Linked DNA regions of Oryzias latipes. The protein of the gene in region 4 interacts with the protein of the main gene of each other region in a pairwise test. Links are inferred from orthologs where the notes say so. Each region holds a gene or a part of one and is shown on either strand. Other genes may lie near its edges. The genes, in order: bysl, nck2, prkaa2, trip6, sik3, neu4 and nedd9.

Region 1 (3,936 bases), on a different chromosome or scaffold from region 4:
CCATGCAGCTCAGAGGGGTTTCAGAGTTATGCATCACGTATAAGAGCTTGGAGGGCTGACCTGTGACAGACGGGAAACACTGGATGATGCATTCAACTCAATAATACATAAACTCCACATCCATGATTCAAATAAAGGCACATCTGTTATTGATGTAAAAAAGGTTTTTAAAGTCTAAAACCTTAAACAATATTTGGTTTTATAGTAAGGCTTTGAGATGGTTTCTACCATAAAAGGCCAGAGCCATTAAAGTGCAGCTGAAGGGGTGATCTGTCGTCACACTCCAGTAGAACTAATAGGACCCTTATCTAATTTGTAAAATATTCTCAAGATAATTTGACAAACACACATAAGATAAAGTGGCTATGTATGCTTAATTGTGTCCCATATTTACTGCAGATGTGTCTGAAGGAAGAATTAGCAAAAGCCCTGAATGTTCTTGTTAAAAATGCTACCAATTAAATGCAAGGGCACAAACGGAGCTCATATGCCAATCACCTTTTTTTAATTGCTTTTTAAAGGTCTAAGCAACCACAACTAATTACCACATGAATAAATAACTACTAATATGTTTCCCGCGTGATGCTTGAAAAAGTAGCGAGCTTACCGACAACGTTTCCCGTGGCGTGGTATGTCTCACAATCCACGCAGAAGCTGCCTTGTTTCACAGAACCGAGCTGCTCCAGCTTTTTTTGCAGGACGTCCACGGTCTGCTGCACACTCTTGCCCTCCGCTATGGGCACCTGACAAACACTGAAAGACAAAACACCCGACTGAGCAGCGACAACCCAACGCATCCATGAAGGGGAGGAGCACGCTTTCCCCAAAAGAACAAACATTTGAAATAGACAGGTCCTATAAACATAGCGAAACCAAACTATGTTGAAATAATAATTACACTTTAATGAGCCAAAATATTCCTTACCAAGTTACTCCCATTTTTGTTTTGCCTCCTTCGCAACTACTTCCGGTTAAACAAATTGACTTCCGGTAAAGGAAAAAATAAAATAAAAATACAAGTGAACATAGACGAATTGAGTTAAACTGATTAACTCAGTTAATAAACATAGGTTCTTTCATATATAATGTTTCGAAACATTTTTAATGAAACCGGATGTGACGTAATGTATTTCCGCTGCCTCTGTCGCGCATGCCGTTTGTCCGCACGTGCTAAACAGCTGGGTGTTTACACACTAAAAAGGCATAGACAGGCTTTAGCTTGTAAATTTTTTTGGAGCTGTAGCGATGCCGAAAGTGAAGAAATCTAAAGGTGGAGGAGAAAAGAGCTCTGGATCCGTGGCGCTGGCTGACCAGATCCTGCAGACGGACACGGTCCGAGCCCGCAACCGGGTTAAGAGCAGAGACCAGCGGCCAGAAAGCGACGACACCTACGTAGACGAGCGGCTGTCGCGGAAAATCCTACAGCAAGCCCGAATTCAGCAAGAGGAGCTTCAGACCGAATATGGGCTGGTACCGGAGAAGAAGAAGGCGACACCGGTCACTGTTCTTGGTAATGTTGGATCAGAACCAGGACATCCGCTTCAGTTTAGAAAATGATCAAACAGAAGCCGTTGATTAAGGTTTCTAAAGGTTCTCTCTTGTTCTAGTTTTTCTTACCGAAGAAAACGATGACCAACTTTAGTAAAGTTGCATCACAGATTCATCACAATTCAGACCCATCTACCCTTAACAAAGACAAGTACACTTGAAGTTTACTTAAGGATACTTGAGTAATAAGTGTGTAGTAGTGTACAAGTATAGACCATGTACGTGTAGTGTAGGACATATAGTAACTGAATACTTTTTCAGACTTTTATTGGAAAATTTTAAATGTATATAAAAAGAAAATTCTAGTTTACTGCTTTACTTTTAGTATAGACAGTATACTTGTAGTTTACTTAAATAGACTACTTTTTGCTAAGGGATGCACTAATGCTATGACTTAAAAATAAAGTTAACTGTTCACTAATGATGGTTTTAGTAAACACTCCAAATTAAAATACTTTCAGTAAATAAATACTTAAAAATAGAAGTAATAATGTTTTCATTTACTCGTTTCTGTAGTTAGTTGGGTGATTCCATACATCTAGATCTGCATCTTTTCATTATGTGAGTTCTAAACACTCCTGTAACTGTAGGTCCTGAATCTGGGGATGCAGACTCGGATGAAGAGTGGCCCGCACTGGGAGAAGCAGTTTCTGGGGCGGCAGAAACCGAATGTGATGCTGAAATTATTGTAGACCCAGAAGACGAAAAGGCCATTGAGATGTTCATGAATAAAAACCCACCAATGAGGCAAGAAACATGGCAGTTCTGACTAACCAACAACAACAAACAGAAACCACCAGGCCAGTTTCTTCTGTCCCTACTAACATGTTTCTCTTTCTCGTAGGAGGACCCTGGCAGACATAATCATGGAGAAAATCACTGAGAAGCAGACCGAAGTGGGGACGGTGATGTCGGAGGTGTCAGGGCGCCCCATGCCTCAGCTGGACCCCAGAATTACAGAGGTTTATAGAGGTGTGGGAAAGGTGAGCTTTCTTATATTATTGAAGACATAAGCCGCGGTTACATGCGCAAAATATCTGGATCGGATTAAAATCCAACCGTGTACATGGGATCAGAAAACCTTTTTCCGATTAGAACAAACGTTCACATGGGTCACACTTTCGGTTGGAATAAATCATTTGAGCATGAGCAGTAGTGTTGAAAATACCGAAAGAGGAAATGGGTCCCACAGTAAACAAACCGAGCTGCCACATACATTCATGCAGCAGCTCGGTAATATACAAGACGATCTTCTAAACGTGCTTTTATCAATGTTATGAATATTATGAAGCGCCTGTTCGCTCATCATTTTAATTTTAATCCGTGTGGTCAGTGCTTTTTTTTGTGGAAGAACCCTGGAGAGGCTAACACACGCGCTAACAACATTAGCCTTTTTTGATGAACACAAACACTCCCCTCAAACACAAAGTTATGAATCCGGCTGCTCTGCTCAGAGACACAGTTCGCTCCGTCCACCGGCACCCGAGCCCGGACCACGCAGGGTCCAGACGTCACGGGGCACGAAGCGCTCCCCCTCGCAGCCCCCTCGTGAGGGGTGTAAGAGAGGGGAGAGGTGAAGAGCCAGCAGGGCGAGAGCAGAGCGGCGGTTCTCACCGGTCCTCCGCAGAGCAGCCGGTTGGTCCTGTTTGCGCTCCAAAGCTTTCTCTGGAGCGATACACCGTCTATGCGTGACGTTAAACCAGAGCAGTAGTGACACGATCGGAATGAACTGTTTACATGTAACACGATTGGATCAACAATCGGCATAACCCACCTATCTCGATCGGAAAGACATTTTGATCCAAACGAGTCTGATCAGGGCAGAGTATTCTGAACGGTGTGTTTACATGACACATTTTCCTTCCGATTCAGGTGTTCTTTCCAATTACTTTTGCCCATGTAAACACAGCTACTATAACACGGTGTTGTACAGTCTGATGGCTGTGGGGAGGAATGACCTGCGGTAGCGCTCCTTCTTACACTGAGGGTGCAACAGTCTGATGCTGAAGGAGCTGGTCAGCGCTTCTACAGTTTGGTGCAGGGGGTGGGAGGGGTTATCCATGATGGATGTTAGCTTAGCTTAACAAACACAGCCCACAATGGCACTGTCCTCTGAGAACTTCTGCAGGTGACAGTGGTGGGAGTTGTAGGTGAAGTCCGATGTGTACAGGGTGAACAGGTGTGGGGAGAGCACAGTCCCTTGAGGTGCCCCCGTGCTGCAGACCACCACATCAGACACACAGCCTCACAAACTGTGGTCTGTTTGTGAGGTAGTTGATGGTCCAAGCAACCAGATGTTGGTCCACACCTGCAACCTCCAGCTTCCTCCTCAGCAGTGATGGCTGGATGGTGTTGAAAGCACTGGAGAAATCAAAAAAACATGACTCT
Region 2 (4,256 bases), on a different chromosome or scaffold from region 4:
TGAAGAATGTATGAGGAAGGTTGCCTCTATAGCTTCATTTTAATTTTTTAAAGTATGTCTTTTAAACAAATTAAGATTTTTATTTCCTTTACAGTAGCAAGGAAATGCGATCTACATGAATAACAATGGACATGTGGCTTAATCGTCTCCTATTTCTCGCTATTATCGCCAAGGGGCGACATATTCCTCCACAATCTGTCCATTTCCCTCTGGCGTTGTCCTGTTCTCGTCCCGGGGTTAGTGACGTCACAACCAGGACCGGGGATCAAGCTGAACGTGAATATCAGAATCAAACCGGAAATTGAGGCGGAGTCCTAACAAATAAAAGCAGGCTCGATTTAACAAAAAGATTCTGAAAGTTAGCATGAAAAAAGGAAAATAACCAAACTAAGGTACGAGTAAACTATAAACAACATCAGTTCACCAACAGACATACATGTAATTTTACATGTAATTTATATGTAATTTTACATGTATTACATTTAGGCCTGCAGCCTTGCTTCAATGACCATTAGGTAAATACACTTCTGACCGTTAGCAGTTGGTAAATAAAAGATTTTTTTTTTACGTTTTGAATTGCATACTCATTTACCCACATCACAAAGGATAAAGTGTAACCATAGAGCAAAACAAAACAAAATACGATTTTAAATGGATAGGGATTGACCAAAAAAGTAACTTGTTGATCTTTCTATTTTATTTAATTCTTATGAAAATTTTTCTGGATTAAATATTTGTTGTTTGATGCCATCATATGGACTTCAAAAGAAAAGAAAATAGTAAACTACATGGAACTGCTGTTAGCGAAACTGCTGAAACATCTGCAAAATGATAAAAAACACCTACACTTCAAACACATATACCGTTAAACTGTGAAGAACCTCTTTTTAGATGTTCCTCACCCAGACAGATATTGGCAAATGAAAACACATTAATTTAAAAAAAGAATAGAAAGAATAAATGTTTCTGCTAATATTCCACATTCATTTGGTTTCAAAGTTTTCTCTTCCTAAACATTCGTATCATCTTTTCTTTACATTTTTGTATGCTGTTGCTAAGATTTTCATTTTTGACATTTAAAATAGGTCAAATAGACGACAAAACACCTGAAGAAGTACAAGTTGAATATGTCTAAAAATGTACTATTTCAAAAAAGAAAAAAGTTAATTATATATTAAATAAAGATAGTAGTGGTGAATAGACAATAAAGCAATAATAGTACAGTGTACATTTTTGTTTATCACAGGCATAAAAATGTGGAAAAATGCACACGTTTGTTATCATGAACAATATTTAACCATATTTAATTAAACTGTGTTTTCTGACTGCATTTAATATTTTTCAAATTTCTAATATGTAATTTTAATTTACTTGTTTTTGCAAAAATTGTACTTTTTAATTGAATTTGCCCTGTTCAAACCTAGCTTTATTTTGAAAAATCGGAACGGAAGTGAAGAAGTGTGTATCTCCTAGCTTGAAAGGAGGCTGATCGAGGCGGAGGCAGTCAGCCTGCGACGGAAAAACAAGCGACAACACGTCGAACAGTACAGGTTTAGTCAGTGTTTGAAGAAAGAAAATGAGATAAACCAGAGGAGATGAGGACTTAAACGAATTTTTTTGTCACTTTGACGAGGGTTTGGTCACTTATTATTGTTGGACCCGCGCGCGCTATCCCTGTGCTGTGACGCTTGTCTGCCCATTCTGACTGGAGTGAACACTAAGGTAAGGTAAGCCTGAAATACACAACTGTGTGAGTTGCTTCTGCTTACATTACTCTTTCCAGCTGCGCGTGCCGTAGATTGAAAGGGGTTTTATTGGTCTACAGAATTATGTGTGGAGGTTTTCCTCCGTAGTGGGAGTGGGAGGCTCGGAGTGTCACTTTCTCGCGTTGAGACGCTTGGTCTTTGTCCACTCTGACCACAGACTTGGCTCGAATCTCGCTCCAGTGTTCGCGAACCACTTTTTAAACCCCCACAATTGTATAAATTTGTTTAAATTCCCACACTTAAAATCATCAATTAAAATGTTCACTAACAACATTTGTACTTTTTCGGTTAGTAAATATTAGAGGGGCCTGACTCACAGACCATGGTCGGTGGTGGTGGATTCCAGGCTGTGGTCCGGCTTTGTTTAAAATAGTTTCTTTTAACTTCAGTTCTACAATTTCGTACTTTTTTGCGTGGAAAACAATTTCTGCCATCATAGGTGTTTGGTTGGTGTGGTTCGAGATCCTGCTGACAGCGCTACGGCTCACACAATGAAGCACACTTGCCAAAGAAGCAGCAGAAATCGGCCGGGCGCCTGGTGCCACATGCCGAGCTTGTCAGTGCTCCTAGCGGCCGTTGGTGGGAACTGCACCATGCTGTCGCCTCATCAGCCCCTGTGGATCAAAGGACGCCTTGTCTGTTCTCTCACTGACTTGATGCTGGATATTTTTGTACATTTTATTTTAGATTTAGAATTTGGGTTTTCAGATTTAAATCCAGGTGTTTAAAGGTGCTGAAAGTTCTTGCGTGGTTCAGGTAGACTTGTCACACCTACTGCAGACACACCCTGTGCAAAGCGCTCTCCCGGTCTACAGTCCGCACTGACAGGTATGAGGAAGGAGGCTGCAGGTCCTGTACTGCAGAAACTCCCGTTGCATCATTTCCTTGGAATTCGATACTTGGAGCAGAAATGTTGTTTTAGAGATGAATTTCCACCCCCCTCTATGTTTCTGACACCATTCTCCCTGTCAGCTATTAATAACTCACTCTGATGAAAACTGTGGAGTTTTTTTAATATGTTCTTGTTTTTTTTTTTCATGAGGGAGGACATACATGAAGAAAATTTAGATATAAAACTGCATTTATGAGTATTTCTTTATTCAGATCGTTGTGAATCAGGAGCCGATGAAAAATTACTGTCGGAAAAAGCTTGTTGCTTTGACGTAGGCGTTTACAACGGCAAGCCACAAACTCCCTGCTCTGCTCCATTCTGATGCCTCCACTAGTACACGACTGTGCATCTTCGTTGACCTCGTCTGAGGTGGAATCTGGCTCAGAACTGTACGGCTGGATAGCTGCAATATTGCCCGCCCTTTTTGTGAAACCCCTAACGTTAGGTTGGGATGTGTGAGGGGCTCTAAGCTAGCGGGAGTTAGTGTAAACAGATAGATGACGAGATGTGGGGGTGGGCTTTCTCTGTGTGCCCACACCTCAGAGGCAAATTTCTGATGAACTCCTGCCACTCTGCATAACTATGTCCTAGAAAACGACACAGATTTTTTGATTTTGGCTAAAAAGAGCATCATCACGCTTTTACAGTAGATCAAAAGATGATCAGAGTTTGACTTTAAGCTATGTTCTCATCGCCCTCGGCAACATGTTTTTCAAGCAGACACCTTCGATGAGAAGTCTATGTAAACACTGTTTTATGGGCTTTTTTGCTCAAAACTCTTGTGTTCATGCCTGGCTACGCAAGTTTTTATGACAATGAACACGCGTTGGAAGTTAAACCAGGTCGAACTTTGACCAATCAAGGACTTGGATTTTGGAGTGACATATATATGGTTTCCTTTGTAATTCACGAAAGTGCCAACGGTTTGAAAGTTGATCATGAAGGAGGAATTAATGATTGTGGTTTGTGCCCGGCTGGAATTCTGGCATCAAGTCTTTAATATATTGGAATATAGCTGTCAAAGAAAAGACAAAAAAATAAAACCTGGAGCAAGATTTACCAGATTTGACTTTTTGCACCAAACCTTTTCTAGTACATGGTAGAAAAAGAAAAAAAAAGGGTACTTTAACATGCATTAAATGCATGGTGTGTATTAGAGGTCCAACGGATCACGGATGACCCTTGATGACCCCCCCCCCCCCCATTTAAATCGATTGTCCGTTCAAACCAAAGACAATTTGTGCGTCAAATTCAATTAATTTGAGTTAAAATAACAAAAATGAGTTTTTTACAAATACATCATATTGTCAACAATCACGATTTTGAATATGTGATTTAGAAAAATGTAAACAATAATTACTGTATTCTACTATGGATGTATTGTGAAGCTTCTAGGAGTGTGAATTCTACATTTAGGTTTTAAATATTGTTTTCAGAATTGCCTATTTTTATTCATATATTAAATGGATCCGTTTTTTAGTTTTTAGTCGTTTCTTTTAAAACAAACCCGATCTTTCCTGTCATCTTCTTAACCGTTTATTCCCTTTCGGGGTCACGGGGTTGCCGGAGCCTATCCCGGCCACTTGGGCGTAGGCAGG
Region 3 (3,500 bases), on a different chromosome or scaffold from region 4:
GCCCCCAATTGTGAAAGGTCTCCCACGTAAATAGATGAGAGAGTAATTTTCATCATAGGTAAACCTCAACTATGAGAGACAAAATGAGAAAAAAGAAATCCGGAAAATCACATTGTCTGATTTTTAAAGAACTTATTTGTAAATTATGCTTGAAAAATAAGTATTTGGTCACCAACAAAGCAAGACCTCTGGTTCTGACAGATCTGTAACTTCTTCTGTGGGAGGATCCTCTGTCCTCCACTCATTACCTGTATTAATGACACCTGTTTGAACTGGTTATCTATATAAAGACACCTGTCCACAACCTCAAACAGTCACACTCCAAACTCCACTCCAAACCAAAGAGCTGTCTAAGGACACCAGAAACCAAACTGTTGAGCTGCACCAGGCTGGGAGACTGAATCTGCAACAGGTGTGAAGAAATCACCTGTGAGAGCAATTATTAGGAAATGGAAGACAGACAAGACCACTGATGGTCTCCCTCCATCTGGGGCTCCCCCCAAGATCTCACCCCGTGGGGTCAAAGTGATCACAAGAACAGTGAGTAAAAATCCCAGAACCACAGGGGGGACCTAGTGAATGACCTGCAGAGAGCTGGGACCAATGTTACAAAGACTATCATCAGTAACACACTACACCACCAGGGACTCAAACCCTGCAGGGCCAGACGTGTCCCCCTGCTAAAGCCAGTACATGTGCAGAACCGTCTAACGTTTGTTAGAGAGCATTTGGAGGATCCAGGAGAGGATTGAGAGAATGTCCTATGGTCAGATGAAACCCAAATAGAACTGTTAGTAAGAACTCTAGGAGCTTAATATTTAAAAAAGAAGGACTTGCTGTTAGTGCATCAGAACATTAGATGTTGAGAGTTGAGAATGTTCTGTAAATGAAGCAACATCAGCTTAAATAGATTGCATTTTGTTTTGAAAAACCCTTAATATTTTTTAAGTTGCTTTTAACTTTAAAATGTAACCATTGGGAACCGCAGACTGATTTTACTGGAGAAAGGATGCTGAGTTGCATCCAAAGAACCCCATACCCACTGTAAAGCATGGGGGTGGAAACATCATGCTTTGGGGCTGTTTCTCAGCAAAGGGACCAGGACGACTGATCACTGTAAAGGAAAGAATGAATGGGGCCATGTATCATCAGATTCTGAGTAAAAAAACCTCCTTCCATCAACAAGAGCATTAAAAAGGAAACGTGGCTGGGTCTTTCAGTGTGACAACGATCCCAAATACGCTGACCAGATAATGAAGGACAGGGTTTGTAAGAAGCATTTCAAGGTCCTGGAGAGTTCTAGTCAGTCTCTAGATCTCAACCCCATAGAAAATCTTTGGAGGGAGTTGAAAGTCTGTGTTGCCCAGTGACAGCCCCAGAACATCACTGCTCTAGAGGAGATCTGCATGGAGGAATGGACCAGAATACCAGCAAAGGTTTGTGAAAACCTTGTGAAGACTTACAGTAAACGTTTGAATGCTGTCATTCCCAACAAAGGTATGTAACAAAGTATTGAGATGTACTTTTCTAATTGACCCAATACTTATTTTCCACCATAATTTAAAAATACATTCTTTATAAAATCAGACAATGTGATTTTCTGGATTATTTTCTTCTCATTTTGTCCTTAAAAAATGACAGGCCTCTGTAATCTTTTTAAGTGGGAGAACTTGCACAATTGGTAGCTGACTAAATACTTTTAAGCCCCGCTCAAAAAAGACAAGATGCAGTTCCTTCTGACCTTCTCTGTTGTTCCTCAAATCCTCAAAGCAAATATTGCATTTGGGTTGTTCTCCTTGCGATGAAACCAAACTGCTGCTCACAAATGTTCACTTCTGACCTCAGTCTAGCTTCCCCTTCTCTTCCTATAACTTTATTGTGACTCATCATCTTTACTCCTCTGTAGTTTTCACAACTCTGCGCATCTCCCTTCTTTCTTCTGGTCCTTCCATCCATCAGAAGATTTCTGCTTCATTCCTCAGACAACCTCTCCTGAGCACGTCCATACCTCCACAGGTGTGTTGTGAGGACCAACTGTATTTCCACTCTTCATCCTCTTCAATGTCTTCTTCACATCCTCCTTACTGATCCTTGGTACTTCCTCCTCTTTTCCTCTGCTCTCTAACATTTTCTTCATTCATCAGCTCATCGACGTTCTCCTCCCATCTTTCCATCACACTAGTAGAACCTGTCACCACATTTCCTTCTCTGTCCGTCATCCTCCTCACCTGCTGCAAACCCTTCCATCTCTCGTCTCATCTCACATGCATTCTTCCTATTTCATCTTCCACCACTTGGTCATCTGCTCTGCTCATGTCCTCTTCGTCTTCCTCACCGCCAGACTCATCCTCCCACCACCATCCTCAACAGTCTGGCTACACCCCCCACTGCCACCACTTTGCAGACTCTGGTCTTGTTCAGATTACATCTGTCCAAAATGTGATCAACTTGTGCGCTCCTCCCTCGACTCTCGTTTTCCTGTGAAGGTTCTGAGATCTTCACTCCTTTCTTTCCTTTTCTCTCTGCCTACAAACCCGCCTTCCTCCTGTCCTTCTTCCACTAACAGTAGTCCAGTTTTCACCAGCACACAGCATTGCTGGCAGTCGTTGTTAACCCGGCCCTCAACAATCCAACACCGAAAGTTCTGTTGGTATGATTTGATTTGGATGCTCTTCCTGAAAAAAACTCTGCATTTACCCAGACTGGTCTCTCAAAAGCACCAAATTCTGCCATCTTGTGGTAAACTGTAAACTACATACTCACAAACATGCTGGTTACAGGACTGAGTCACAGAAAGACTGTAAGTGTTGCAGCTTTGCACATTTAAAGGGAACTGAACTACGTTTGATCTGTCACCAACCATCAATGCTTTTGAAGTCAAGGAGGTAGGATCTGTTATCCACTTGGTAGAGCTGCAGGCTCATTTTCACCAGGTTTCCCGTCACTGGGTTCTTCCTCCGCACACGCAGATGGTATGGGTTCACCACCTGACACACAAGAACAGGCATATTTGCAGAGCCACATGTTTACTGCACAAACCTCTGTGTGTAGAGCTTATGTCGTTACCTTCCAGTCAAAAGCGAGTTGCCTCATAGCCCGGTACACCTCCGTCATGATGTCATGGGGTCTGCTCTGACTCCTGATCCCCAGGTGCCACTTGGCTTTCTTCACTGCTAGCGGTTTAGGCCGGGTGGTGTTGAGAGCATCCAGAGGACATCGAGACTTGGGGCTGTCAGCCATAAGTGGAGGCATCCTCTCTGGGTGGGGTTTGACCCCAGGGGGCAATGGCATACCCTCCTCTATAAAAGAGCCCTGTGGAGGACTGGATGCCAAGTAGAACTCGCTGGCCTGCGTCATGATGCGTCGATTATCTATGATGAGGTGATACGCCACCGCTAACTGATCCTGTGTGAACAGGAGGAGGAGGAACAATGAAGACAAGATAAGACATTTCTTCAGATGTGACATCCTACAGCGTGCAACTGCAAGCATAAAATACT
Region 4 (4,127 bases):
TTCTTCCAAAAAGCAGATGTTTCGCTGCATGTTTGACCAAATTCATAGTTTTACATCTGTGTCCGCGTTTAAAAAAACACTGGAAACTAAAGTCGTTTAATTAGGATGTTGGACCAAAGATGGACTCCTGTTTCCTCCTCGTTGAGTAGAACAGACAGAAGCATCAGATTCTCTATTTTACACAAATATTAGCTTTCTTATGAGCTGTTTATTATAACAACAGAAAAAAACTGGAAAAATGTATCAAAGCAACATAAAATTGGCAAAAATGATGTCATTATTTACATGTGTTCACTGAAATAAATAAAGTTTTGGACTAAAATATGTAGAACAGGATTTTCTGAGGATCACTTCACTTCTATGTATCCAATTTTTGTAAGCAAATAAACAGTTTTACGGTTTCTTTCTAAATAAAGCACCGATATGCGTGTAAATGGGTCACATTAGTACGCAACCATGTGACACAAAGGAGGTAACCAATCAGAAAAGACCCAGTTTAACAGTGGAAAAGGGCCAAACAGCTTGGAACAGACAGAGGAAGAAACTAAAGGACAAAGGAATTGGGTTACATTCAAAATGTCTGTCTTATACTTACTTATAATTTTGGCTAAATATTTAATTCACAAGTTTAAATATGCTCACAAAAAAAACAGTATATTATATTTTTCAAAAAGAAATAATTCTGTATGTAAATTGTATTGAATCCTGCACTAACAAAAAAGCTGTTAACACAGTTGAAACATGGTCACATTTAAGACTTTAGCAGAATCCTTTACCTTTATTATTTATGTTTTTTTACCTGTTTTATCTGGTTATTATTATGGCTTTTTGACATTTTTTTTTGGTTTATTTTACTGGCAAATGTGAACATTTTGTCATTTGCACACAGTGTGGAGTGTCAATATTTGATATTCTGTATGTGCAATATTTGTTAATAAAGTTTATTTTAAAAAGTTTGTCTAATAACTAACCTGAAAACTAATGCTGGTGCGAAAGTAAATCACATTGTAGGACATTAAAAAGAGCATAATATAGCCTCTTTAACCTTTAAAAAGTCTTTTTTTTTACTATTACAGGTACTAAGCAAGTATTACATCTACTTTCAAGATGACCTGAACACAAATCCTTCAAATTGAATATATTTCTTAATAAATCTTTATCTTACTTCATGCGGGTTGCCCAATATGCTCTCAAAACATGCCGTCACTTATTTTGTAATGTTGGTACCGCTGCAATCAGGACCCTCACATCAAGCCAAAGTATTGTTGATGTGGAAAAATAAATAAAGCTCTCAGAGTGATTGTAAATAGGCTGTGGGTCCATCTTTGCAGCTAAGAGGATTATAATGACAGATGAGGGGATGATGAAGCCACACTTTAACACAATGCTCCACAGAAAATCGTTCAGCCTTTTGTTTATCGTTATTATGATGATTATTTTTATTTCTTTTAGTATTCTGATGGTCACACCACAGCCATATTGACCGTCTGCTCCATCCTTGCACATGTGCCAGATAACAACCAGCCTTGAAGAACCTGATTTAAGTCTGTCTGACTCTGTATGAACACACACTCAAATCCCAGGCTGGAAAATTAATCCCAGGAGTTTCATCAGTCTGCGGATTAAAGCCAGTTGTTCTGTCTCTGAGACTTGCATAACAAATCATCTGATGAGGTCGGACTCATTCATTATTTTATTTAAAGAGGCACAGAAACTCTCAAAAATGAATGAAAGGAGAACACAGGCAACAACAAGAAATCTACTGATGTATTTTTATAACTGATTTGTACAACTAGTAAAATCCGTTGAGACAACCGTGTTGTAATATGGGGCTTTATAAATAAAAATGAACTTCCGGTAATTCAAATAAAAGAAAAACCAAACACCTAAAATAGCCTAAACGTTGGCACGTTAGAACTAATAAAAGAATAGAAAAACCTATTCATAATGTTCTAAGATATTCTTAAGGAAAAAAAACTATCTGGAATATGTTCGGTAGAAGTAGAAATGGAGGCTTTTATTTTGAAAGCACTGAAAAGTGGTCAGACACAATTTTGATTTGTGGGTTTTTGAGTCAGTCGCATTAAAAATAAAGCATTAAAATATGTAACCGCCGTAAATATATTACATTAAATAAAAAAAAGGGGGGGGGTAAACACACATATTTATAAAAAATAAAAAATATTCGAGATTTCTTACCTGTTACGGTGAAGCTATTGTCTTCTTTTCTTCGGTCTCATCTACGAAAACATCAAATAAATTAGTAAAACGACATGGAAGCAATACACGAACTACTTTAAAAATAAAACAAATTTTACAGCGATGTTTTTAGGTGCTGCTAAGAAATCTGCAGCTGTCTAAATCTGTCAGTGTCAGTGCGTCACACACTACCATAACAAACACGCAAAAAATAAAAAGTAAAAACAAATTAAAAAACAATAAGAGCAAAAATTAACTGCCTATCTTCGATAGAAAAACGACTAGCTTTGCTTAGAAAAAGAAAAAAAAAGAACCGTTATGAACTCGACATTTCGCTAGGTAGGCTCCTGGCTAACTTTCCAGCCCGACCCAACAGGGAACAACGCAAAAAATGTCGCCTATAAACCGAAACGTCGTAAAAACAGACGACCTGCAGCTGAGTTTAGGCGTTCCGAGGTGTGTGAAAAGCATCTCCAAAAAGTTTATTTCTGCGGAAGCGCATAAAACCCACTTTGTCGCGGATCCACAGGCCTTTAGTTTAGCAGCTCCTCGCTACATTCCCAACGTGTGACGTCACGTTACTGCATGCGCGTGCCCGCAATGGCGCGTGCCTGCTTTCAAAATAATTGAACTGAAGGCAAAGTGGCAATTCTACGGAAAAGGATAAGGAACGAGAATAGGGAAAAAAACCCGGCGAAAATAGCTTTTCTCCATATAATTCAGTCGTTTTCCCTTCGAATTCTGACGTAAACTCAGAATTCAAAAATAATTTTTTTTAAAAAAAATAAATAAACCAGAATCTAAAGAAAGAGAAAACAGAGTTGTGAGATTAAAGTTGACATCATGGAACCATGAGAATAAACTCCATTTCTGACTTTTTTTTCCTGAGAATGAAATCAGAATGTTTACTGAGATTACTGAGAATTGTAAATGATGGAAAAAGAATTCTGAGAAAAAAATACATTCTGAGTTTTATTTCAGAGTTCTTAAATTAATTCTTAATTCAATAAATGTAAATGTTCTTACCACATTTTTTTCTTCCTGCCCTTAATCTTTTTCAATACCACCAAAACAATAACCTAAGTACTCTAGAGTAAAAAAAAAAAATTACCGGTATGTAGTAACACAATAATAATTAATAATAATAATTGATACTTTATTTATCCCACAATGGGGAAATTCTTCTCTTCATCCCATCCCCTGGGGGAGTGGTGAGCTACAGCCGAACGGCGCTCAGTGGCGTTAAGGGACTTGCCGAAGGGCCCTCACTGGGGATGTTAATTGCTTGCCATTGATATGGTTATTATTCCATTGTAATAATGTAATAATTCCATTATTACCATTATTCATTACCCTCCGAACCATGGATTCCTGCGTGGTAGCCTCTCACCTTACCAACCGAGCTACCCAGCCGCCAGTAAAACACTATTAATTAGTAAAACATAAAACAGTGAAACATATTTAATTAATCAAAAAAAAAAACCACCAGAAATTGACCAACTGTAATTCTGTTTTCTTTTCAGATTTAAATAAGTACAATTACAATGAATTGAGTACAAATTATTATTTTATTCTGTATTTAGGCAAAGAAAAAAACATTTTCGTTTTTAAGGACAACATTCCACCTGACACTATTTTAATACAATTTTTGAAAGAACTACTTCAGGAACCTTTTTATTGCAATGGCATCTTTTTCATTTCTTTTTTTAGAACAAATACATCTAAACAAACTTTTACCAAAATCACAGTCAATTTGTCCATTTTTAACACTGTTCATTCCCAGTTAGCTTGTCATAGATAGCATGTCTTGTCTGGTAGTGCTTCTTCATAGTGAATATGAAAACATAATTTAGCCAATTGCAACCAAGAAATCATACACAAATTGTTTAGGAAGTGCTATGGGCTGCAGATTATTGATTTTATGACAG
Region 5 (3,500 bases), on a different chromosome or scaffold from region 4:
TATAAACGGATTTAATATTTCTTTCTTTTATAAATGACCATGGTATGTAAGGGTTAATGGCCTTCAAAGTGTGCATTATCAGAAAGTAACACTTCACGTTGGACGGATCAGGCTTCTGCGGCATGCTTTAATTTCTGATAATGCACACTTTGTGACCATTAACCCTTTCATGTTTGATCAATTTTAGACAAAAAGACCAACATTATCTTCAGGATTACAAGATAAATTGTAACTACACAAACGTGACCACGTTAAAGTTTTATCCATTTTTTTCTTTTGTCTAAATTAAAAAAAGTAACTTTAACAAAAACGTGTCATTTATTTTTGGGAGATTAAATTGTTTCCGTTCAGTTTAAATGTGTCTGTTGGAAACTCCACCTTAATGCTGCTTCTTTGTTTTTGTTACTTTTATTTAAACCTAATATCTACTTTATTAAAGTGACTGAAGTCTGGAATAGAATTTGTCCTTCAAACATCAGAAAGCAGTTGTTTCTTTTATAAAGATGACTTGGACCAAACTCTGGAATCTCTGACTTTAATTCTGTTCTTCTTGAAGGAGAAATAAACGGTTTTCTGATTTCATCGAGAAGATTTGCAGACTGTTAGCACAGACGTTTGCGTTTGTTGTGCTTCATGACGGTTAACAGCAATGCCGTTACATTAGCCCAATGCATCATGGGAGTTGTAGTGAAAGCCAGTGGTGCTCTGAGCTCCATTATTTTATCCACTTTTTAAATGCTCTGTCACCGGATCCTGCGTGAAGCTGCTACAGCTGCACAGATGATCCGTGATCCGTTCAGATCACCAGTTCTGCACAGACGTGTGCAGCAGATTGCACCGCCCCCCCCAAGCCCGTGTCCTCTGCTTCTGCTTTAACACGTGTCCAAAAATGTGCTCATAAACCTGAAAATGCTGCTGCGTAAGGGAGGAGTTACTGTCTACTATTTTTCGCCCTCTTAATAAAAGACACTGAAGATGCTGAGAAATCTGGCACTTTTATTTTGAAGAGCTCCACAAAGGGGTCAGTGTGAAACCTGAGCCTCGTTTTCATGAACTACGAGCTGATATTCTGGAGATGGTAAATGTTTTTAGATCAGAGAAAATGAGTAATTTCCTGGGGCTCACCTGAACATCTCTCACTGTGCACTGGTGTGCCGTGGCTCACTGGTTAAAAAACACTGGTCTAGACTTTCTGAGTTCTTCTGTTGTTTCCACAGACCACCTAGTAGCTCATGGGCGCATGGCAGAAAAGGACGCCAGGAAGAAGTTCAAGCAAATTGTGGCCGCCGTCCACTTCTGCCACTGCCGCAATATTGTCCACAGGGACTTAAAAGCGGAGAACCTGTTACTGGACCACAACCTCAACATCAAAATTGCAGGTGTGTTTTTTGTGTTTGTGATTTGACAGTTTTCTCTAAAAAAGAAGTGATCCCATTTGTTCTTTTGACAGATTTTGGTTTCAGCAACATCTTTTCTCGAGGCCAGTTGTTAAAGACCTGGTGTGGCAGCCCTCCTTATGCTGCTCCAGAGCTTTTTGAAGGGAAGGAGTACGATGGTCCTAAAGTTGATATATGGGTAAGTAACGGACTGAAAGCCTCCTGACTAATCAGTAATTCCGTTTTGAACTCTGAGGGCATTCTTCTCTCCCGGTGTAGAGTTTGGGGGTGGTGTTATACGTGCTGGTGTGTGGCGCCTTACCCTTCGATGGCAGCACTCTACAAAACTTGCGGGCGCGTGTTCTCAGTGGAAAGTTCCGCATCCCTTTCTTCATGTCCACAGGTAGGAGCTTGTGTGTTTGTTTGTGTCCTCCGCCCACTTTGAGGCTGAACAAAGACAAAAAACAACTCACTATGACCAATTATATATCAACGATAGCATTTCCTAATTTTGTGTTTAACATAAAAAAAGGCTAAAGAATCTTATGATTCATCCAATATTAAAACTTGGATACATAGACTTGTTGCTTGTCAAAACGTCTTGAAAGACGGTTTAAACTCTTGCATCATGTAAATAAATGGCCCCTCGATATGTGCATATGATTGTTTTTTTCCCAATTTTACTTTCTTCCCTTCATAAAAGTAGTACACTTGAAGTTTATTTTATTAGGTATACTTGAGTAAAAGTAATGCAAATATACTAAAGACCGTTTCTGTGTAGTGTAGGAAGTATACTAACTGGATACCGCTTCAGACTAAATTGGAACATTTCAAGTTTGCAATAAATAGATCATATATCAAAAGTAAACTTCAGGTATACTGCTTCCCTTTGTAGCATAGATCAGGGCTGACCAACCCAGGTCCTCACAGAGCCTCAATCCTGCTTGTTTTCCAGCTCTCTCTGAACTGCTTGATGCCGACTCCCTAAATCATGCGTGTTCAGTCAGTAGGGATGTGGAATCACTGGAGTTGGCTAATTGGGAGAAAGCTGGGCAGGGAGAACTGGAAGACAGGCAGGGCTGAGGCTCTTGAGAACCAGGGTTGGCCATCCTTGGTATAGACTAGGTATGCTTAGAGTACATATAAATAAACTACTTTTTGCTAAGAAATGTTATCATTCTCCTTGCAGACTGTGAGTACCTAATAAGACACATGCTAGTTCTGGAGCCCAGCAGACGTTTGAGTATGGAACAGATTTGTAAGAACAAGTGGATGAGACAAGGAGATCCAGACCCAGACTTTGATCGGGTAAAACAAACCTTCACGATTTTTCAGGAAGTTCCCGCTTGCTGACTGTTTCCGTCTCTTTGAACTCTTTTTAGTTTATGTCCATCAGTGAATATACTTTGATTTACAACTTAAAAATAGAAGTACCGATGCCAATAGTTACATGAATGTTGAATTTGGTTAAACATTTGGGGCAAAAACAAACATGGGCTGTCCTAGACATGTGCCTCATGGGAAAGCCACTTTGGACTAAAACCTGCCCTGTATTCTGCCCTTGCCTGTCTTCCCTTTTTAGCTTATAGCTGAGTGTGAGCAGGTGAAGACCGAGCGAGAGGTGGAGCTCATCAATGAGCAGGTGCTGATGGCCATGTCCGAAATGGGCCTGGACAGGGAGCGCACACTTCAGGTCAGCTCAGTGTGCACCGGGCAGGCGTTTCTGCCGTCTGTCATCAGCACAGCCTTTTTTATCAAACATTATAATCGCTGCTATTTTATTTTTTCCTTTCTCCAGTCTCTACAAACAGATGCATATGATCACTACAGTGCCATTTACAGTCTGCTGGCTGAACGCCTCAAGAAACACAAGACCCTTCGTGTCGCCCCGCCCACACCACGACCTATTAGCTATCTTCCAAATGCTGTACAGGTGAGGATTTTTTCTGGGGGGGTTTTCTTTTTTCAAGACCATTGTGTTTCAACATCAGAAAAAGCAGCAAACTTTTGATTCTGGAATGCAAAGTTCAGCAATGACGACGGTTTTTGGACAGCAATTAATTGGAAATTAGAACAACAAAGAACAAGTTGTTCTAATTCTACAATTTTTAGGTTGTCTATGAA
Region 6 (4,075 bases), on a different chromosome or scaffold from region 4:
ATGTGATCTATTTTTTATATTTATTGTTTGCATGTGAGTCTAAAGAAGATTTTTGACACTTTGTTTGAAAGCTTTTTTCTGTTTTTACTTAATTTTTAATGCACTATGTTTTTGTGTTCTATGCATAAATACCGTAAATGTTCTACATTTCAGTCACGATATGGAACAGTACTGGTGCTAATATGAGAACGTACATATACAGACTAACTGTTGAACAGTTTCAATAGACCTTTGATACATTTTGAAGGGAAGTTTAGCAGTGAAGAGCTTTGAACCGAAAGAAGCACCTATTTATTTCCCAGGCGCTGTGCAATGAGAAGACAAAGGGAAGCAGAGAGAGAATACATAGAGGGCAGATCATAACTTCTTTGTTCAGATTGACCCCTCCCACTCTGCCATCTTTTCCACAATGACCACTGTCCGCTGATTCATCCAAAGCTGTAGATCTGATGAGTGTTCATTTCTGGGTCAGTGAGCAGCATGCCGTGCTGCTGCGGTGAACAGAGAGAACAGACCATGGCTTTCAGATCCTCTGTGGAATACACAAACTCACTGCACTGTCATCCCCAAAACCCAACACTCTCTGTACCAACACAAAGTAGCTGCAGCTCTTTCTGAACTTTGGAAAGGTAAGGACTCATATCTACTTCCCCATTGTGCCCTGGACATTAATTTAAAAAATTGTGAGAAAATGTGCAGATAAATGTCATTTTTACTCTTAAGAGAAGAGATTGTCTCACAATTTAAAACTCAGCCAGTTAAGTCTTTGTTGCTACAATCAAGATACATTTAGTCTTATAAAGTATGTACTTTAAAGGTTAAGCTACGTTTAATTACACAAATGCCCGTGCTACCATTTCATTTTTAATTCATTCCTTTAATGGGATCTAAAGTAAACTTGACAGCTTAGACAGTAAGAAACAAAACCTTTTCTGTCACCTGACTTTTCTTCAGGATTGTTTCATCAAGTTTACCTTTGAAATCATGAAATAAATTCTTATTTTTGGGGTTTGTTCACAGTTGATACATTTTCTAATAATGTATGTTTGTTCGTGTGTGGAATATATTCATGTTTATCATTCCACATAAAAGCCAATCAAAAATTGAGAAAAGCAATAATTTCTACTGAGGCAATTATTGTTTTTCCTAATTCTGTATTTTGCACCACCCCATGTACATGCTATATTTTTCAATGAAAGCTGGTTCTGATTTTTACGTTTTTGCAGAAAATCTCCGGGTTTGCTTTGAGGAAGTGTCACACAGTCCTGCTGGAGCATGAGGTCGCCTTATTTCCCAGCGAGATCAGTGCTTTTCCGAAAAGAGTCCAATGGAGTGACGTATAGAGTCCCAGCTCTGATCTACGTGCCCCGCAACAGAACATTCCTGGCCTTCTGTGAGGAGAGACTCAGCCCGTCTGACTCCCAGGCTCACCTGCTTGTTGTGAGGAAAGGCACTTTCTACAGAAACTATGTGGAGGTCTGTGATAGGATGGAGTGCGGTGATTTTTAACGGTCAGAAACACAAAGTTTTGCTTTAAATTCTGCTTGTGTTGACATTGCACTGCTCCAAATATAATTTTTGTCAGCACTCTGATAAGTTAAAGGATAAAACACACACAGTGCAAAAGCCAGAACAAACCTTTCTCTTTTTTATTTAGATTTATGTCCATATTGTGTTTAAAACAACAAAAAGCATCAGTTTGGAGAACACAGTGATGTCCAAAAATACATTAAAAAACAAATTATAAGAGGCAACAATTGTTTTTGCAGGATGATGGTGTATTTACAGATTATAGAGTAAGATTTGATATCTAAAATAAGACAATAATTACACAAGTGTAAACACCAATCTTCTTATGCAAGACAAAAATGAAGAACCTAGGAAAGAGTCAGACAACTGGCATTCACTGAAGACTCCAGAAGATTCAACTAGGAAATTTTAGTAATATAACACAGTTATATAAAAGTAATATTTGCAACACAATTTGTCTATTATCATATTTAGTTTTTTATCAGTTCATTTCTTTTACGTATACTTTTTTCTGCCCTTGTCTCTTAACTGATTTTTGTGGCAGTGGGGCAACATCAGTGTTCTGGGCACTGCCTACCTTCCAGGCCACAGGTCCATGAACCCGTGTCCAGTGTTCGATGACTTCACGGGAACGCTCTTCCTCTTCTTCATCGCTGTTCTCGGCCACACGTCAGAGTCCTACCAGCTGGTGACGGGGAAGAACGTGACCCGGCTCTGCTACATCTCCAGCACCGATGGGGGGGACACCTGGAGTCCAGTCACCGACTTGACCAAGACAGTCATAGGAGACACCATTAAAGGTCTAAACATGTCCACTTTGAACAGATTTTTAATCTGGATAGTCTTTTTGAGATGAAGAAAAAAACAGCACAAATGAAGCCTAAGATGTTTATTTCTCCTCTGGACTTCAAATGAAAACGAAGTCAGACAAAAAAAAAAAAAAACTTCTGAAAGCCCCAAAAACTTGATACACCTCATGATACATGATACACCTCTGTGTGTATCAGAGTGGCCAAGATACTCAGTCATTAATTTATCTCCAAAAGATATTTGCATTTCTGATCTCTTTTTGCATAGAAACCACCTTTATATTGTTAAAGCACAGAAAAACAACAATCTTTAGTTAAAAACCACACTTTGTAGAGCTCCTATGGGAAAAGAGGAAATCTTTATCAAATTGCCAACAATTAAATAGGAATTAGGGAAAAATGCTAGCTGTGTTCTGAAAATGATACATGCTATAACTGTTTTTTCATAGTCCCATTCCTCTCCTTCTTCCCAGCAGATTGGGCCACGTTTGCTCTGGGCCCGGGTCACGGCCTACAGCTGAAGTCGGGCCGTCTGCTAATTCCTGCCTATGCCTATCACATCGAGTGCAAAGAGTGTTTGGGGCGCCTCTGTCAGACCACTCCTCGCTCCTTCTGCTTCCACAGTGACACGCACGGCAGGAGCTGGCGCTTTGGAGAAGCCATTCCAGCTCCAGAGAGCGTGGAGTGCCAGATGGTGTCTGTGGATGAAGAAGACGGCTCCAACGTGTTGTACTGCAACGCACGAAGCCCTCTGGGATACAGGGTACAAGCCCTCAGTCTGGATGACGGAGCTGTGTTCCAGTCAGGGCAGCTGGTGCCCCGACTGGTGGAGCCTCGAAATGGTTGTCATGGTAGCATTGTTGGATTTCCTGCCCCGTTACATTTATCCAAAAGTCTGAAGAATTGCTCAAAGCGTCTTGTCTCCAGACACTGGACATCCCACACTAGCAACATGCACCTACACCATCCTAATCCAGATTTCCTAAATCCTACCTGGGTGGTGTATTCCCATCCAACACTGACCACCGCCCGCCAGGATCTGGGTCTGTTCCTTAGCCTGTTTCCACGTGATCCAGACAGCTGGCGTGGCCCCTGGGTGATCTATGAGGGTCCCAGCGCGTACTCTGATCTGGCCTACCTGGAGCTGTCAGCCTCACCTGGAGCTGTGCCCGCCGTGGCCTTCGCCTGCCTCTTTGAGTGCGGCACCAAAACCCCCTACGATGAAATCTGCTTCAGCATTTTCACCCTCTATGAGCTCATCGACAATCTGCCCGTGGATGTACAGCCCAGGGAGGATGACTGCAGACAGACCAGCGGGAGCTGTAAACAGCAAACCCAAAGGACACCTGCTGTGCAGCCGAGGCCGCACGTGAAGAAGAGGAGGAAGAAGAGCAAGCTGCTCGAGATGTGTTCTTCTTCCTAAGCACAGTTTGAAATGTATGACATCCAGACGAAGTATCTTTTGATTAATAGCATTTTAAAAACAATGTATTCTCTCCTCAGGTGCATCTGGGTATGTGATTTTTTTCCAGCAAATTAAATATTAGATTGTAACTTTCATAAGCTTTTTTTAGTATACGCCCATTTTAATGCTGCTTTTTCTTAAGAACATTTGTAGTTGGGGTTTTTAATGCTCATATTTTTCAATTATCTAAAGTTTCTTGGTGCTTTCTTGGTTGCCACTAGTCAGTGAATTTTTAGCAACTTTAAGCTTCTGAGACATTATGCTTTTTATC
Region 7 (3,092 bases), on a different chromosome or scaffold from region 4:
CAGTAATTTGTCGTTTTTCGTGCAGTGATGAATCATGTTGAACGCTTTAAAGACTTCAGGGAAGCTCTCCGGTCTTCTCAGGCTGCAGGATTTATGCTCACATGACGGCTTCACTGCACCCCAAAGAACAGAAAACCTGCAGCAGATGACACGCTTTTTTGGGTAAGGGGCTTTTCTCACGCTGCAGAGGACATCTGCTCTGCCTCCATCTGAAGGCCAACTCCATCCAGCGCTGCATTCACAGAGAAGCTCCAAGCGGGTTTTTTTCAGCCTGAGCTGAGTTTCAACCTCCAACTATTCAGGCCGATCTTTTGTCAAACTTCAAATAATGTCGCTTTTCTTAGACCTGCAGGTCCTGACATGATGTAACTCTTTTGTTTTGTATGGTCTGACTTAATCATTCAACCTTAAGTATTCAAACAGGAATGATTTAAGTCCAACATTGTTAGAATAAAGTATTTGAGCGAGATACGGGAGAAGAACAACACTGAAAAGATGAACACGTTTCAGTCTTTTACTTTTTGGCAAGCGCCACAAACACAGACACGAGTTACAGGCAAATTTACGGTCACACGTCACACTATGACACACCAGCCTCGCTCCACAATGGACCACAGCTCATAAGGTGCTTTACAAATACAGGAATGTCATGAAAAAAAATGTCCGGCGCATCCTGCAGCAACACAAGTTCAGAGTATAAAACCATCTACACAAAAATAGAGCGGGTTTTTACAGAAGAGACTATGTACAGGAAAAAAGCAAATATATATAACCCAGCAGACAGCTGTACAGGAAATGAGATGATGGATGGTTAGGGCTTGGCCATGTGCAGCAGCTGCTCCTTAAACTGCTGTGCGTGGTGAGACAGGTCGGTGACACGGTCCACCATGTCCTGGACGGCGGCGGTGTTGGGGTAGTTCAGAGCGGCCGTTTTGGTTGCTCCCACCACCGTTTTCAGCAGGTCACACAGCACATTACTGGCGTTCATCACCCTGTTGGCCACCTCGGGGGACGAGGCTTGTCGGGACAGGGTGTCCCCGATGAAGACCAGCTTATGGGCGCTGAGGATGACAAACTTGCTGTGAGCTACAAAGATGCGAGGGGGCTGGCCGGCGCCGACGCAGCCGAAGAAGGCGTCGACGGCGCTGAGGAGCGTGACAAAGTGCTGCTTGCACTGCTCGGCGTAGAAGGCGAGCAGCTGGCGGTCCCGAGTACAGACGAGGGCGGAGGAGGAGTCAGAGGGAGAGGCAGATATCCACTGAGGCACATCGTTCTCTACCGGCTTGATGACCTCCTGCTCCAGCTTCTTGAACTGATTGATCTGTGGAGAAGCAAAAATTTAAGTCAGATGGTCGGCTTTTATGTCTGTTCAGCCCAAGTTCAGGGAGACTGAGCTTCATCTCTGCATGGACATTCATGAAGCTGCGTGAGAGGAGAACCTCTTCATCTTCCTCACCTGCTCCTGACCCAGCTGGACTTGACTCTGCTTGATGATGTTCTCCTTCTCCAGAAGCTCCTTTTGCTGACGCTCAAAGTCTTCTTTCCCCTGCAGGCAAACAGAGTTAAATGAAGCAGAAAGATCTCATATTCCAGCAGAAGACACTAAGCAGCCATTTGTACCTGCAGGTGGACGTAGTCGTAGTCTTCCATCCAGCTCTTTACGCACTTCTCACTGTTGTTCAGGTTGTCTTTGTCCTGGGGGGAAACGGGGAAGGGCTTGGTCCGGCCCCTGTAGTTGTCGTTGTCTGCAGAGGGGGAGGTCACCTGATGTGTGGGGTTGTCCTCGGGCGTAGCCCGCCGGAAAAGCAGCTCCATGTTGCTGCTGATGGAGGCAGCGAGCTGCTTGGCGTCGTCAGGAACGCTGCGGGACACCATGACGAAGCGCTCCACGTCGTCGCTCTTGTTCAGGTGTTTTCCGGACGCCGTCAGCGCGTTCAGACTCCAACCGCTGGCCTCCAGGGTTTGGTTGATCTGCTGCAGGATCTGCTGGGAGTCCTCCAAGCGCCCCAGCTGCCGCCGCAGCTTACAGTGGAGGCTGGAGTCAGATAGGGAGGCGGCGTTCACCGCAGCGCCCCTACCAAACACAATGAAGTCCCTTATAGCGGCCCGGACCCGATCCAGCACAGTGCGGAGGTCATTGGTGTGTTGCTCCATAAGGGGAAACGTCCTCCAGTGCGGGGAGGCTGCCATTGATTGCAACGCCCCTACAGAAAGCTCCACCCCTTGCTGCAGGCGGTACAGCCGCTGCACGGCGGCGTCTGCGTCCAGCGCCAGGCGGCCTTCAGGGGCTGAGCCCGTGGAGGATGAGGAGGTGGACATGCTGCTGCGCGAGCTGCCAGTGCTCGAGAACGACAGCCGGTTCACGCCGTCCGTCACGTCCGTCACCGCGCGCACTTCCTGTGCCGGGACGTCGTAGATGCCGTTTCCGTCAGAAGCGGAGTCTCTCAGCTGGGAGGGCTGCATATTCCGGGGGAAGTCATAAATGTCCTGCTGAGCCCCCGCCCCAGACTGAAGGGCAGACGGGGGCACGTCGTAAATTCCTTCATTGCCATTGGAGTTCAGGTGATGGGGCGGGGGCTCATAGCTGAGGGGGAAATCATAATGAGACTGGGGGCTTTGAGTGGCCTTGGTGAGGGTGGGGGGTGGAACGTCATAGATGCCTTCTTGTTTGTGCTTCAGGGACTGTGGGAAGTCATAGTTGCCCTCCTGGAGGCCAGCGTTGGTCCTGCAGGGGCGGACGGAGTACACCTGTGGGGGGGAGGACTCCTGTTAGTGCTCTGCAGCAAATACAACCCTAAAATAGTGCTGGGGAGGGGGGTGCAGCACGCTCTGGTTTCATGGGAACAAACCTTTAAGTAGTTTGCCTAAAAAAACATTTTATTCCTTTTTATCCTCCCCCTCCCACCTGAGGCAGACTGGCCCCTTCAACAGGGAAGTGGACAGTGAAGTGAGTTTTTTTTTTAATGTGAGGATCTTTTAAAAATCCTGAATTTTCCACCTTTGTTTCCTCATGTTTGGGGACTGTGACGTCCCTTTGGGGGCGCACCCCTCAGAGGATTACAGTTCTGGACCTGATCTGGGCCCTCTACGTC

The links.
Region 1: the proteins of trip6 (region 4) and bysl interact in binary tests that used the Homo sapiens proteins (3 or more experiments, as listed by UniProt). The two-hybrid records come from large-scale screens. The link is inferred for Oryzias latipes from reciprocal best matches to the Homo sapiens genes TRIP6 and BYSL.
Region 2: the proteins of trip6 (region 4) and nck2 interact in binary tests that used the Homo sapiens proteins (3 or more experiments, as listed by UniProt). The two-hybrid records come from large-scale screens. The link is inferred for Oryzias latipes from reciprocal best matches to the Homo sapiens genes TRIP6 and NCK2.
Region 3: the proteins of trip6 (region 4) and prkaa2 interact in binary tests that used the Homo sapiens proteins (3 or more experiments, as listed by UniProt). The link is inferred for Oryzias latipes from reciprocal best matches to the Homo sapiens genes TRIP6 and PRKAA2.
Region 5: the proteins of trip6 (region 4) and sik3 interact in binary tests that used the Homo sapiens proteins (3 or more experiments, as listed by UniProt). The two-hybrid records come from large-scale screens. The link is inferred for Oryzias latipes from reciprocal best matches to the Homo sapiens genes TRIP6 and SIK3.
Region 6: the proteins of trip6 (region 4) and neu4 interact in binary tests that used the Homo sapiens proteins (3 or more experiments, as listed by UniProt). The two-hybrid records come from large-scale screens. The link is inferred for Oryzias latipes from reciprocal best matches to the Homo sapiens genes TRIP6 and NEU4.
Region 7: the proteins of trip6 (region 4) and nedd9 interact in binary tests that used the Homo sapiens proteins (3 or more experiments, as listed by UniProt). The link is inferred for Oryzias latipes from reciprocal best matches to the Homo sapiens genes TRIP6 and NEDD9.

What each region holds. Positions count from the first base shown.
Region 1 is NC_019863.2:2,276,684-2,280,619, reverse strand, and holds the start of bysl (bystin), read left to right. Parts: upstream 1-1,136; 5' UTR 1,137-1,245; coding exon 1,246-1,510; intron 1,511-2,138; coding exon 2,139-2,295; intron 2,296-2,392; coding exon 2,393-2,531; intron 2,532-3,936. Other genes in the region: med20 (mediator of RNA polymerase II transcription subunit 20), read right to left, coding at 1-60, 608-753, 926-939. UniProt on the Homo sapiens protein: Required for processing of 20S pre-rRNA precursor and biogenesis of 40S ribosomal subunits. May be required for trophinin-dependent regulation of cell adhesion during implantation of human embryos.
Region 2 is NC_019879.2:10,283,170-10,287,425, forward strand, and holds the start of nck2 (cytoplasmic protein NCK2), read left to right. Parts: upstream 1-1,456; 5' UTR 1,457-1,727; intron 1,728-4,256. UniProt on the Homo sapiens protein: Adapter protein which associates with tyrosine-phosphorylated growth factor receptors or their cellular substrates. Maintains low levels of EIF2S1 phosphorylation by promoting its dephosphorylation by PP1.
Region 3 is NC_019862.2:3,538,888-3,542,387, reverse strand, and holds part of prkaa2 (5'-AMP-activated protein kinase catalytic subunit alpha-2), read right to left. Parts: intron 3,406-3,500; coding exon 3,067-3,405; intron 2,988-3,066; coding exon 2,861-2,987; intron 1-2,860. UniProt on the Homo sapiens protein: Catalytic subunit of AMP-activated protein kinase (AMPK), an energy sensor protein kinase that plays a key role in regulating cellular energy metabolism.
Region 4 is NC_019876.2:14,759,854-14,763,980, forward strand, and holds the start of trip6 (thyroid receptor-interacting protein 6), read right to left. Parts: upstream 2,801-4,127; 5' UTR 2,711-2,800; exon of another isoform or gene 2,630-2,710; intron 2,241-2,629; 5' UTR 2,200-2,240; intron 1-2,199. UniProt on the Homo sapiens protein: Relays signals from the cell surface to the nucleus to weaken adherens junction and promote actin cytoskeleton reorganization and cell invasiveness. Involved in lysophosphatidic acid-induced cell adhesion and migration.
Region 5 is NC_019871.2:32,767,511-32,771,010, forward strand, and holds part of sik3 (serine/threonine-protein kinase SIK3), read left to right. Parts: intron 1-1,217; coding exon 1,218-1,379; intron 1,380-1,450; coding exon 1,451-1,575; intron 1,576-1,655; coding exon 1,656-1,779; intron 1,780-2,565; coding exon 2,566-2,684; intron 2,685-2,958; coding exon 2,959-3,069; intron 3,070-3,174; coding exon 3,175-3,309; intron 3,310-3,500. UniProt on the Homo sapiens protein: Positive regulator of mTOR signaling that functions by triggering the degradation of DEPTOR, an mTOR inhibitor. Involved in the dynamic regulation of mTOR signaling in chondrocyte differentiation during skeletogenesis.
Region 6 is NC_019871.2:13,922,781-13,926,855, forward strand, and holds neu4 (sialidase-4), read left to right. Parts: upstream 1-1,275; coding exon 1,276-1,476; intron 1,477-2,074; coding exon 2,075-2,330; intron 2,331-2,815; coding exon 2,816-3,762; downstream 3,763-4,075. UniProt on the Homo sapiens protein: Exo-alpha-sialidase that catalyzes the hydrolytic cleavage of the terminal sialic acid (N-acetylneuraminic acid, Neu5Ac) of a glycan moiety in the catabolism of glycolipids, glycoproteins and oligosacharides.
Region 7 is NC_019869.2:19,387,596-19,390,687, forward strand, and holds the end of nedd9 (enhancer of filamentation 1), read right to left. Parts: intron 2,749-3,092; coding exon 1,621-2,748; intron 1,547-1,620; coding exon 1,457-1,546; intron 1,322-1,456; coding exon 812-1,321; 3' UTR 501-811; downstream 1-500. UniProt on the Homo sapiens protein: Scaffolding protein which plays a central coordinating role for tyrosine-kinase-based signaling related to cell adhesion. As a focal adhesion protein, plays a role in embryonic fibroblast migration.